Astyanax mexicanus: one gene and its partner. The protein of the gene in region 2 binds, or shares a complex with, the protein of the main gene of each other region. Links are inferred from orthologs where the notes say so. Each region holds a gene or a part of one and is shown on either strand. Other genes may lie near its edges.

What was found. Proteins that work in one complex are often made in the same cells at the same time.
Region 1: the proteins of gnao1a (region 2) and adra2a are in contact, whole or in part, in a cryo-EM structure (PDB 7W6P), measured with the Homo sapiens proteins. The link is inferred for Astyanax mexicanus from reciprocal best matches to the Homo sapiens genes GNAO1 and ADRA2A. Residues at the interface, in NP_066268.1 of Homo sapiens: Ile28, Lys32, Lys193, Asn194, Leu195, Asp218, Phe336, Thr340, Asp341, Ile343, Ile344, Ala345, Asn347, Leu348, Gly350, Cys351, Gly352, Leu353, Tyr354; in NP_000672.3 of Homo sapiens: Arg77, Arg146, Ser149, Ile150, Ala153, Ile154, Asn157, Leu158, Arg160, Pro162, Ile234, Ala238, Arg241, Arg383, Arg386, Phe387, Val390, Leu391, Phe444, Asn445, His446.

What each region holds. Positions count from the first base shown.
Region 1 is NC_064430.1:22,226,212-22,233,137, reverse strand, and holds the start of adra2a (alpha-2A adrenergic receptor), read right to left. Parts: upstream 3,011-6,926; 5' UTR 533-3,010; intron 337-532; 5' UTR 159-336; coding exon 1-158. UniProt on the Homo sapiens protein: Alpha-2 adrenergic receptors mediate the catecholamine-induced inhibition of adenylate cyclase through the action of G proteins.
Region 2 is NC_064416.1:26,265,329-26,272,252, forward strand, and holds the start of gnao1a (guanine nucleotide binding protein (G protein), alpha activating activity polypeptide O, a), read left to right. Parts: upstream 1-3,918; 5' UTR 3,919-4,437; coding exon 4,438-4,555; intron 4,556-4,838; coding exon 4,839-4,881; intron 4,882-6,924. UniProt on the Homo sapiens protein: Guanine nucleotide-binding proteins (G proteins) function as transducers downstream of G protein-coupled receptors (GPCRs) in numerous signaling cascades.

The DNA of each region.
Region 1 (6,926 bases), on a different chromosome or scaffold from region 2:
GCCTTCAGCGCCCGGCTGGTGAACACGGCGATCACCGCCAGCAGGTTACCAGAAACAGTCAGGAGGAAGAGCAGGACTACAAGCACCACCAGTGACGCCTGCATCAAGGGTGACGCCCCTCCGCCCTCCATTGCAATGGTCATATTTTCACACCCCATAGCTGAGAGCTTTTACATCAGTCTTGGTTTGGATCACAGGTGGTGTCGAGTCCACAAAATAAAGCACAATATAAAAACAGGTGGGTGTTCAGTTCATGCTGGAGAGTGTTCCCTCCACGCCGTTACAGGACTCTGAGCACTGGAGAGACCGCATAATACTTTGGGATATTGCTTGACCCTGAAAATAAATAATAATAAGAACAATAAATAAATAAACAACCCACTGGAATTACTGGAATTAATTTAAGGCATTTCAGAATTTAGAAGAGGTTGTTAAAAACAAACTTAAACTACAGGAACCGTGCTGGTTGCTGGTGCTCTGAGTGAACAGTAGTGCTCTAAAAAGGATTAAAGTAAATAAGATTAAAGCTTACCAGCTCAAATCAATCCAGCAGAACTTGATTGATGATCCAGAGTAGAAAATAAGAAAAAAAAAAACAAACAAACAGTAAAATCACTCAGAGCTGTAAACGAGAACCCGGCTGCAGCTCTCACTTTACGCTCAGTCGCCTTCAGAGCCGCTCGCGCCGCGTCTGGGTCTGTTTAATCACATTAGCCTGCTGTGTGTGCAACAGTGCGCCTGTGTGTGAGAGTGAGAGAAACAGAGAGAGAGAGAGAGAGAAAGTCGGTGTGTGCGTAATGCACTTCCTCTTCTCTCTGTGTGTCGACCACTCCCTCCGCCACACCAGCCTGGAGCAGGAGCGCGTGGGAACCAAGAAAAATACATGAGGGTTTCAGAGCACTACACTCCTTCATCATCATCATCATCATCATCAGCTCCTCCTCCTCCTACTCTCTTCTCCTCATCCTGCTGTTGCTACACCCTCGCTTTATCTCTCCTCATCCTATTGTTTCTTTTCCTCGTCAACTTTCTGCTGCTCCTCCTCATAAACTGTTTTTCTCTTTACCTTCTAATATTTTGCTCCTCTTTGGCTTTCCCTTCCTCTTTGGTTCCTCCCTAACAAATCTCCTCCTGCTATTGATCCTCCACCTGTTGCTGCTCCTTATCAACACAACCTACTCCTCAACTCTCCACTTCATTAATTCTCCTCCTCTTTGCTTCCCATTGTTGCTCTTCAACTCTTCTCCTCCTCCTCATTCTACTATTGTTGCTCCTCCTCATAAACTGTCTTTCTCTTTACCTCCTAATATTTTGCTCCTCTTTGGCTTTCCTTTCCTCTTTCATGAAAACTTTCACTGCTCCTCATCATCAGTTTCTCCTTAACAAATCTCCTCCACCTGTTGCTCCTTATCATCAACCCCACCTTCTCAACTTTCCACTTCATTAATTCTCCTCCCCTTTGCATCCCAATTTTGCTTCTCAACTCTCCTCCTCCTACAAATAATCTCTTCTCCTCATTTTACGTGCATCTCTGCTACTGATTACTGCTCTTCATCATCTACTTCCCTTCTCCTATTGCTCCTCTTCGCTTTTTACTGTTGCTCTTCTTCAACTCTCCTCATCATACACTCCATCAACATCAATTCCCCTCATTTCTCACTTTCCTTGTTATTGTTCTGTTGCTCCTCCTCATCAACCCCACCTACTCCTCAACTCTCCACCTAATTAATTCTCCTCCTCTTTGCTTCCCAATGTTGCTCCTCAACTCTTCTCTGCTATTGATCCTCCTCCTATTGCTGCTCCGTTAACTCTTCTTCTCCTGTTGGTTGTTTTCTATTGTTGAACCTCTTCATTAAATCTCCTCCTTCTACTACTACTCCTTTATTTCTCCTCCTTTTCACTTCATACTGTTGCTCTTTTACTCTCCTCTTTCACCTCCTCCTCATCTCTCACTATTGTCCTATGGCCTATACCTGCTCCTCTTTAACAACTCCTACTCTTTAATTCTCCTCCTCTCTACCTCCTACTGCTTCCTCTTTATTAATTTCTCTCCTCTTCATAACCATTGTTTTTCTTTAAGTCTTCAAACTTTTCTCCTTTGTTTCTGATGCTACTCCCCCAAAACTTCTCCTTAGTCTCTCCTCTCTCCCTCTATACTTCTTGCATATCTAACCTGGAGGAGCCTGTTATAGCATGTAGGAAACTGCAGGAGTTTAATTCAGCATGTAGAAACATGTGGGAACTTGTAGGGACCTGTGGGAGCCTGCTCAAGCCTGTGGCAGCCTGCAGAAACCTGTAGTTTCTTTGGAAACTTGTAGGAGCCTTTCAGAACCTGTAGAAATCTGTCGGATCCTTTAGGAACCTGTGGAAGCCTGTAGTAACCTGGTAGAGCCTGTAGGAACCTGTTAAAGCCTGTAGGAAACTGGTAGAGCCTGTCAGAACCTGTAGGATCCTTTAGGAACGCTTGTAAGCTTGTAGGAATCTGTGGGAGTCTGATAGAGACTGTAAGAACATGTGGGAGCCTGGTAAAGATTATGTGGACCTGGTGGAGCCTGTAGGAAAATGTGAAAGCCTGATAAAACCTTTAGGAACCTGTGGGAACCTTTTAGAGCTTGTGAAAAACCTGCTGGAACCTGGTAACGACTGTAGGAACCTTTAGATTTCTGTGAAAACTTGTAGGAGACTGTAAGAGCCTGTAGGATCCTGTAAGAACCTGTAGAAACCTGTGGCAGCCTGCATGAACCTGTAGGATCCTGTAGTAACCTGTAAGAATATGTGGCAGCCTGCATGATCCTGTAGTAACCTGTAGAAACCTGTGGCAGCCTGCATGAACCTGTAGGATTCTGTAGTAACCTGTAGGATCCTGTAGAAATCTGTGGCAGCCTGCATGATCCTGGGGGAGGCTGCTGTAGGAAACAAATTGAATTAATGAAATATAAAAGCCTCTACAGCAAACTCTGCCCTGAACATCAAACACTCGCTCTGTTTACACTGGAAACAATATTAAACCGAACCCGTGTTTCAGAACGAGCTGCTCATATTACCGACAGCAGACCTGCAGCACAAGCACACAGCGCCGCCTGCCGGCCACTGCCTGCATTACAGCAGCACTGAGTTACAGCATTCCTGACCCACAGAGATCTGCTATATGACAATACATAACAGAAATGACATCATATAGATATAAACAAATACAAATCGTATCCAAAATATACTTCCATATTCAAGCATATGTAACATATATACTAACTAAATCAAATTGATATTTTCAAGTATGGGACCTATACGTAGCCATATATAACCAAACATTACACATATATACAAACAGGTGTGACACACATATTTAACAATATAATAATACAAATAATTTAAGTAACAAAAAATTGTTGGGTCATTTTGGAGAATTTCTTTTAGTCCATCCATCGTGTCATTTAACACAATGTAAAGAAAAACTGCCAATAAATGCCCCCATTTTCAGACATACATATTTATTATAAATACACATTATTTGTAATATTTAATTTTGTTTACTACATGTGCAGATTTACCTACACATTTAAACTTGTTTAGCATATTTATAAGACTTTATAATACACACAAACATCTTTTGCAGCTTAATTATTTTTTATTTTAACTTTTTTTCTGTTCTTAATGCATTCATCCTTTTATGGAAAACTGTACAACAGGGAGGGCAATTTTACTGATATTGGTATTTTAGTTCCTACAATTCTTTTAATTACCTTCATATTTAACTACGACAGGGTGGACAGCCCTCTCTCCGCTAATACAAAGCCAATATGATCAATATTTAGTTCAATTAATATTATTAATTGCTGAACATGCAGCAGTGTCTTCAGCTTCTTGAAAATATAATATTATGAATGTTGTGATTTCATTTATGTTAAAGGTTACCTGTATAAAGGGGCGGAGTTACTCTAAGACGGAAGGGTGGACAGTTTCTGAACATGTGGAAATAGCTTAATATATATATATATTTTCATGTAAACAGCTAAATAATAATAATAAAAAAATGTAAATGCACAAATTATTATTTTTTACTTATTTCTAATTTTATCTTATTTTGTCCCCAATTTAGAAGGTCAATTACCCCACCCACTCACTGGAGCTTCCTCCATCACTAGGAGGGTGAAGACCAGCACACGCCTCCTCCAATCCTGTGAAGTCAGACTCCGCATCTTTTCACCTGCTGCTGCAGCATCACAGAGTATCCAGCCCAGACTCTGGAGGAAAGCGCAGCGACCATACAGCTCTTACACAACAGCTAACAGACGCCTGTGCTGAACATCAACAATAACCCTCCAGCTATAGGGGGATATGAGTGGTAGATCAGTGGGGGTTTGGCACCAATTACCTGCTGGATCACTAGCTGTGGTGAACAGTGACCACAAGACCAGCCTGATGTTCTGATCCAGCCACAACCTCACTACACTTCAGTTCACAGTTTAATTCTTACAAAAGTGTCTAAAAGTGAGAGAAAATGAACAGAATAGAAAACTGAATAAAAGAGAATAAGAGAGAGGTGGAAGGCAAATGTATGAAACAACGAATGTGTAAAGATTAATGCGCAAGAAAAAATGGAAAATAAAATGAAAAAGTTAAAGAATGGAAGAGAGAACTAAAGATTAAGAGGAGTGAATGAATGGAGGAGGGAGAAAGTTTGAGAAAGAACAGAAGAGTCAACAAAAATTGAGAGAATGGAAGAATGAAAAAGAGGAATTAGAATGATATAAATATTGGAATGGAAGGAGGGAGAGATAGAGAGGGAAAAGAGAGGTAGAGATAGTGGGGAGAGAGATAGAGGGGAGAGGTTAAGAGGGAGCGATAGAAAGAGAGAGAAGAGATACAGGGGTGAGATAAACCCTTTATAAAGGTAGTCTTATTTTAAAGTGGTACCGAGAGATGCTCCAGTTTAAGGTCAGTAGTATCTGATTTAGAGATTCTTCAGAAAAGTAAAAGTTATTTTTTTACAGATATAAAATCTTCACTTTTTCTCCATCAGTAAAAGAGTAAATCCACTCCACACACTGAAGAGTAAGAATAATCACAGAGTCTGCAGGTGAGCTGACGACCCGCTCCTTCTCTCCTTTATTGATTTTCTGATAAACGCTCCTCCGTCATCCCTCACTCCCGCCTCCCTCAGAAAGCCCCTCAGGAATGGCACATTAACATGGAAAAGGAGGAAGAAAAGAAAGAAAAGGGAACATGGATGCGGATCGGGACACGGCCGTGCTGCTGTGTTCCTAATGCACGTTTCACTCCAACAACTCGAAGGCATTTATTATTATCATCACTGAACAATAATCAGAACCAGAACTCCATTTCGCCAACAGCTAACTGCAGTTACACAAAAGAGGAACTCGTGAATGTACAGGTCTGTTTTTTCCTTTTCTAAGCTTTTATACAAAACCAGGAATGCCTCTGGCGAATCGGCAAGCGGGAACAGAAAAAAGCCCTTTTTACAATTGTTTACTTTTTAAAGTCTTTGTTTGTTTTTTAGTTTTTCTTCTTCAGTCTGTGCTGCTGCTGTTTTTTAACGCCAGGCTCGAGTTTTTTGCGCCGGGTTGGTCGTGTAGCTCTTTGTCTCTGCTGGGGAGCGTTGTTTTACAGCGTCGTTTTTATGTTTGTGTTCGTGTGTGTGTGTGTGTGTGTGTGTGTGTGTGTGTGTGTATATATTTGTGTATACATATATATGAAATGTCCATGAACGCAGAGACAGGTTGTGCCCTTTCCCGTCGTGGACCGATGCTGTTGTCGCCGCCGCGGACTCCTCCCGGAAAATGAAAGCAAGTAAAGAGAGTAAAGAAAAACAGTACAGTCGTGACGACACTTTTAAAAGGCTTAAAAAAAGAAGGGTTGGCTGATGAATAGATAAAGGAGTGGGACTCTTCTTCTTTTGTAAAATGCACAGTATGAAGACAATTTCATTCTTATAAAAAAAAGGATAAAACAAAAAGACATTCGTCAAACATCGAGGGTCGCAAATTCAAAATTCAATACTTTGCAAAACAAAGCAGTTATAATAATACCGAAGATATGGGATTTTTCTTAAAAAATAAAATTACATAAACACACACCAAACAGACTTTTCAGACGTACGGCTTAAAATCAAAAATATTTAATAAAAGGGTTGATAGAATAAAAAGAAATTTCTGCTTTTTTTCCCCCATTTAAATCTGCTGAGGCAAAACTCATCGTATTCATTTGACAACAAGATAAACCATAACCTGATAGAGTGATCAAATAAAGCATAAAATACTTACACACACTATCAGATTAAAAATGCCTTAAAATCAGAAACATCGGAGCCGACCCCCTTAATAAAGTCGAGCAGGACGCCACAATTCATTTACAAAGTGCATTTAAAAAAAAAAGAAAAAAGAAGGAAAATAATAAAAACGTATCGAGAGTCGTAAATAGTGTGCACTAGTTTTAGCAAGGATGGAAAAGAAACTGAAGGATAAAAAGTTTGGTAAAGTTAAAAATCGGGCTGCGTTCCAGTATGAACTTCTGTACTGCCTAGAGCACTCGGCTGGAGTGCACATCTCCGGCCACCAGGAACACAAGCACACAAACTAGAACCTCACACAGAGCACCATAAAACTGAAGTTACTACGGCTGCGTCCCAAACCACATACTGCCATACTCAGCAACACGTCTAAATAGTACTCTCATCTGTACAGTACGGTACGGTCTTATAGAGTTTACTGCTGCGTCCAAAACCACACACTTATACCATGCACCGCACCACGCAACAGGCCGAGGCTGCGTCCCAAACCACATTCACAACCACCGTACTGAAAGTAGTACACACTGCATAGTACATACAGCTCTGGAAAAAATAAGAGAGCACTTGAAAATAATGAGAAAACCTCTGGAATATAATCAAGAGGAAGATGGATGACCAC
Region 2 (6,924 bases):
ACTCAAAATCTCCCAATGATTGGGCCACCACTTTATTCCTCACTTTTATATAAAGTGAAGATTAAAAGTCTTGAGTGGTAACATACTTGACTGGCTGACATACTTGTTTTGGTCTAAAATAAAAAGTATATGCCTGACATTCCAAAAGCATATAAAGAATATTGGGATAGCAGTATATAAAGTACATTAATCATGAAGTGATACTTAAGGGGACGATTTGAGAACACCCAAACCTGTACACATTTTGAGAGGTGAAGCTGAATGCTGAAGAATTATTCTTTCTCATCCACTCTTTTTTAAAGCTCTTGGTGACAAAGAACTGAAGTGAGGTATTTGCATTTTTTTGGGCTAATTGGTAGAGAGAAGGGGCAAAATGGAATTGGCCCTAGAACACCTGTTCTGTGAGAAGTGTGGGGATCTAACAATTAAGGAGGTGAGTCTAGAACCGTCTTTGGTCTCTGCTGTGCAGATTCTGGGTACAAACTTATTGGGCTTAACTTTGAACTTAAGTTATCTGGCTAAACAAAGAAAAATCCTGCTCTATTAAATATCTATTAAAGTCCAGAAATGGAAAACACTGATGTACTGTTTATTCTTATTCATAGGAAGCCAGGCTGGATCACAGAGACAACTCATATGGATCCATTTTATTAATTGCATTCAAATGTTTGTCATTGTCTGGACCGAATAACCTCACCAATCAGTCATTTTGATGTTTTTAGCAAGGTTTGCAAACGACAGAAAAATAATGATCTTCGTTTTAGTAATTTCATCACTTTTATTGCAGTGTCTTGCAAAAACGGAATACCTCGCTCCAGAAAGGCCCTGAAAACTTAATAAGCAGTCAGCAGTTAGCAGTCAGGTGTTTAATGTGGGTGTCAGGGCCAGTACAATGTGAAACGTTCAGCGTAATGTGAGGTGATTAACCAAAGTTTCCTATTCTTCTGAACTGCATTCAGCTTTTGCTCTGAATCAGGGTGTCAAATGTTTATTTTAACCTTTCTTTCACTCATTATCTGCAAACTGTGTAACTGGGTCATGTGAAACATTCATTGCAGATATGTTTTTAGATGTTTCACTTTCTACACTGCAGAACTGGCTTGATTCCAAAAAGCAGGCTGACATTTAAATGAACAATATGTACTTAACTACAGCAAGCATGCAAAATGCTAAAAAAAAAAAAAAAAAAAAAAAAAAAAAAAGTACCTTAGGCTGATTTTAATTTATTGGAGGGAGCTGTCTGTCCCACCGCCTCCTCCCCAGATTGTGGTGTAAGAACCTTGCTACAGGTGCATCTGGTTATCCTTGGGGATTCCTAAGGAAATGGCGGCCATTTAGCTCCGGTTCTTGAAGATTCTTCGGGGGTCCGGATTTACTACAGGATGGGAGGGAACTCCTTTCTGGAACACCTGTGGGAATGAAAAGATTTAAGTTAGAGTTAAAGGTACAAAAAATATGTGATAATGCTTACCATTCAGAGACATGTCTTAAAGTATGTACAGCTGTAAATAATGCTGACATTAATATGTGTGTGTGTGTGTGTATGTATGTATGTGTGTATACTTTACAGTTACCCCTACCTGTAACATTGGTATGGTCTAATTAGAGAAGAGGCGGGGCTACAGGTTTAAAGGGCAGGTAGAGTCACCTGTAGAAGAATCTACCAAATTGAAGCTGTTGTGAGCCAGTCAAACTGTTGGGGGCTTTACAGACCTTACTGTAGTGCTGAGAGTCAGGATCAATTTTGTGTTTGGGACTGATATTTAAGGGGCAAGCGTTTACTAGTTAGCAGAGTGCTATATTTATGGACTATATTTGACCCCAGATTTTTTTTGTCAATTGTGAACATTTATTAAAATAGCTTTGGTGTTGGAACTGACCTGGAGGTATTTGAGCTTTTCTTGTCCTGTTGGGAAATGAAAGCTGCATCTCTATAAAGCTTGTCATTGGAGGAAAGCATGAAGTGCTGCTCTAAATTGTTGAATTTGTTTAAGTTTTTGATTATATAATTTTTTTTAGATGCACCCGATTAACAAACAAAATCAGTTGTACTGTGTAAGTTTATTTGCTAATGTAAACCCTTAAAGTGTCCAAAGTTTCCAACGTTATGCCAATTTTTACTTGCATAGAGGCAGCAGCACACTGTGGCCCAATCCAATTTCTAATATGTACCCCTAGCCCCTGTTTCTAAGTGTAACTCCTCCCCTTCCCCTGTAATTAGTTTTTATTTGCTTTTCTTTCCCTATTTCCATCTTAAATGCTGTAGCCCCTGTCATCTGTTGCACCATTTATGTTGAAAAAGAAAATTTAGCTAGATAGCAAATGAGACAAACTATTAGCAATAGTTTATGAATGTTATAAAGAAAATGCCCATACAACACTCAAACTACACATTAAGCAATGATGGTTAATATAGTGGTTACAGTCGATTTTACATCCCTCTATTTTAAGTGTACCTCTAAAAAATCTATGTTTGCCTGAGACACTGTTTTGCCTGAGTTTTAACAAGATTGTGGATGTGAAACGTGTGAAATACTTTAAATTTGATTTAATTAAAATATTGGACAAATATATGCAGGACTTTGTACAAGTAATAGTCCCCACAGACAAGGCCTGTCCACACAAATTCAGATATTTTTTAAAACAGTACTGCAAAGCTACAGACAGACTGTGTTGTTTTGGTGCTTCAGCTGAAATGGAAAAGAAGTCTGTGGGTTTTAAAGCCACAGGAGTAAACACTTGTACATAAGATAATATCTGCATCAGAAAAAGAAACAGATTTCAATTTTATCTTGGACAATTCAGCAAAGAATAGATTATCGAACCAAGCTAAAGCACTGCTGTAAAGATAGGCCAGTGATTTAACTTTAAGGATTTTTTCCTTAACATGTGATGCCACAGATATAATTTATTGGGTTAGTGGTGAAAATACAAATACTACATATTGGTCCTTTAAACTAACTTCACCTAATTGTCTGCAAACTGTGTGTCTGAGTCCTGTAAAATAATACATACATATTCGTTCTTTTATTACTATAAGCTGTTTCACTTTCACCACCACAGCTGAAGTGTCTGTATTTCAGAAAGCATGCTGACATTTAAACGCTGCCTCACATGAGAGTGGAGGGAGGATGTGACGAAGGCAAGATGGCCAGCTGTTGAATTTGACGCTTTTGCTCGGATTTATTTATTTATTTGTTTGTTTCGTGTGTTGATTTTGCAGGTCATTAGCATTAGCTCTGCTGTTGGCCACACCTTGTCGTGATTCCTCTCTTCCTCTCAGTCGCTCTTTCGCTCTAAATCGGTCAAACGCGTTGATTTAGTGACCAGCTAGTGAACACAATGCTCCTTACTGCGAATCTGTGGGGCTTGAGGGGCTAATTTTTTCTTCTTCTGTATCTTTGTACAGAAGAAAACCTTGGTGCAGGATTTTTAGCTTAGCGTTTATTTAACGAACGGGGATGCTGCTCGCGCTCGCTCTTCAGTTCTGACGTCACTGTGGAGGATACGGTTTTTTCGTTTCCCACCTGTTTTCGTTTTTCATTTTTCTCGCTCTATCCTTTGCCTTTTTCTGATTGGTTATTCTTCTCGGTTTTCTGAGCTATACGATTGGCTGTCTGCTCTGACAAGCAAATGTCAAAGCCTGGCTCAGCTATACATATTAGTGTGAAAGAAAGACCAGCCAATCCCGACGCTTAAACCGCTGTCCAATCACAGCACGGGGGAGGCGGGGCTTGTCGGAAAACGGGCGGGAAAAAGCAAGGGGAGGTTAAAAAAAAAACAAAAAAAAAACACGTAACTAACGTGCTCGGCGCGCGCGCTCCCGCTCGCTCTCTCGCTCGCGCGCTCTCTCTCTCTCCTCGCTGACCCTCCATTGTGAGCAGAGCTAAACGATGCTAGCAGCCGTCGCCGTCTTCGCCTCCGCCTCCACCGCCACTACCGCCGCTGCTGCCGCCGCCGCCCAGTAGAAAAGGACAGATAGAGCTAGATAGATAGACCCCCTCCCCTCCACCGCTCCCCCTCCGCCCGAGGAACCACCGACACGACCAAGAGAGACGGAGAGCCGAGCCGGTTCACCTACAGCAGCAGCAGAAGCAGCTCCTTATACAGCTAGGTTAGGTTATCTCCACCAGGCTGCGTGTCTTCGTGTCGTTTTGCGGGATTTTTCTGCTTCTTTTAATGCTATAGCTAGAGCCGTCGTTGTGAGTGAGCGAGTGAAAGAGAGAGTGTGAGTGAGAGAGAGAGAAAGAGGGAGAGAAAGAGAGAGAAAGAGAGAGAGAGAGAGCGCTAGGAGAGAAAGGTAGAGGAGATAGATAGGGAAGAAATCTCGAGGTGAAATAAAAAATAAACCACGGAGTGCTCGCTCGCTTCCCCCCCTCGCACGTCGCTTCTCGCCGGTTTCGGAGCTGAAAGAAAGAGCCTGCGGTCCGCCTAGTCATGGGATGTACACTGAGCGCCGAAGAGAGAGCGGCTCTGGATAGGAGCAAAGCCATCGAGAAAAACCTGAAAGAGGATGGAATCACTGCGGCCAAGGATGTCAAACTGCTGCTGCTGGGTAAGGCTGGTTAACGCACCTTCTCTTTTCTCCCTCTTTACTGGGTGGATGGATGGGTGGGAGGGTGGGAGGGAGTGGACCTAGTCTCTAATCTTTAGTCTTTGCTCAGAGATCAATCTGACGTTAACATAATTAACCTCACCTAGCTAAGTTACATATCGTTCTCTATATGCGGCTACACGTTTATAATTTTAGGATTTATCCTGATTTCATGTTTTTTTTTTTTTATAATATTACCATATAACTACAGTCCTGATTCCCTCCTGTCTCTTGTGTCTTACAGGAGCTGGGGAGTCTGGTAAAAGCACCATCGTGAAACAAATGAAGTAAGTGCCATGGTGTAAATCAGATTTCTCGGTTTTTAAAGTGTGTGTGTCTTGGACGCGAGCATGCGCGCGCACACACAAGCATATACACACACAGTCACGCAAAAAAAAGCTAGTTAGCTAGCCTACATGCACGCAAACATTTTTTAGTAGCTTGCCTAGGTTAGCTAGCTAAGGTCCGCCATATTATGAAGAATGTCACACATTCACTGTATGTACTAGGTTAACTAGCTAGTTAGCTAACCGATCGACGCGCCTGCTCGGCTCGGTTTGGGGGGAGGAAACGCCTGCCTGGCTGCGGTCGGTCGTGCTGTTCGGTATAACATGGTGCTGAAGCCGAGCCGCTCTCACTCACTGTAACCAACAGAGTTAGGGTTGGGCGATATGGCCAAATTTTTGTCTTTGGTCTCAATGAGTGACAACATTTCAGTCTATACAAGCAGTTAAAAGCCACAGAAAACAAATACATAAAACGTAACGTTAGCTAGCTATGGAACCTGTGAACTCATGAAAAATGGATTTGCCTATTTCTGTAGTTAATGAACGTCAGTGACAGATGCAGTAAATTATCCAACGATAGCTTAACCCTATATATTAAAATGCTAGACATGTAGCTAGCTAATCTAGTTATTTAAAATCATCATACCACCATTATTGACACATTTTCTTTATATGTATGTTGATATTAAATAATTGTCCATCCCTTTAGCTAACTATGTAACTACTGCAGCCTGTACATTATTATCTCGGGGCCACACCATTCTGCTGTACAAACGCTAGCTTAGCTAGGTTAGCTAAACTATTCTACTAGCTAGGAGCTAGTATTTGTACACTTTAGCTGACTAGGTTAGCTATATGGCCATGTCTTTCTGTTCCTTTTCAAGCTTTTTGCGTTTTATGTAAAATACAGGGTGGGTAGCTAGATAGGTTAGCTAGGTTAGCTAACCTAACCTAGCTGACCTAGCTAGTTAGCTTACTAGCTAGAAGTTCATTTAAATGATGTACATTTTAGCTAGCTAATTAGCTATATGGCCATGCCTTTCTCGTCATGTTTAAGCTTTTTGCGTTTTGTGTAAAAGACAGGGTGGGTAGGTGTGTGTGCGTGTGCCTCGTTCTGTAGCCTGATATCACACAGAGAGGCTTCTTAGCTAGTTAGCTTGCTAGCTAGTCTATTGCTGAGATTTATCCTAGCTAGGTTAACTACTATTTTTGATGCATTAGCTTGTGTATTCAACAGCCTAAAGCCCTTTCTGACTGTACATTGCATTATTACAGTTTTGCTCTCATTTAACGTTAGTTTAATTGGAGCAGAACTCACTGTGGTATGTAATTGACAAGATCCTCATCATAATTCTGTGTAACGTTATCTATGTATAGTTGCTATGATTGGCTTCCATATTCAAGGTGAACCGTACAGCAGCAGGCCTTCTAGTGATTGTGGGTTGTGGGTTATGTAGCGTTAGCTATGATTTGAGCGAATCATGCACACACAGAGAGAAATGGGGGTGGGGAGGTGGTGGCAAGGCTGGGGGGCGGTGGAGGTGGGAGGGGGATGGTAGCTAGCTAACACCCTAACTTGGTGTTCACTCGGCCATTTTTATTTTTCACGCAGCTATCACACCCAAACTGAGCCCCGCACAGATCGCGTTTTGTGCGTGTACAGTGCACTAGCCCCCAGCTCTTTATATATACAGAAGAGCCGTCCAGTCGTGCTCTTTTTCTCTGTCATATACGGGCCTGTTAATGCTGTGCTGCTGCTGCATTACCGTGGCGTGTCCAGTGCACATTATAAATCCTGTGTAGCGCAGTGAGCTGGAAGGTGGACGGTCAGATCGCGGCAGTGTATCGTTGTGTTCAGATGTCTGGCTGGTAGATGTTTAGGGTGCTGTGATTGTGCGGATATAGCGGCTCGGCTTAGCGCTCTGCCCCGAGTCTCGAGTGTTAAGATAAACCTACCATTTTCCACTCGGATCTGAATCCCTCTAGACCGCGACAAACGGGGGCGTTTTATACCCGTGTTTCAGCGCTCCCCCCTGTGTGTGT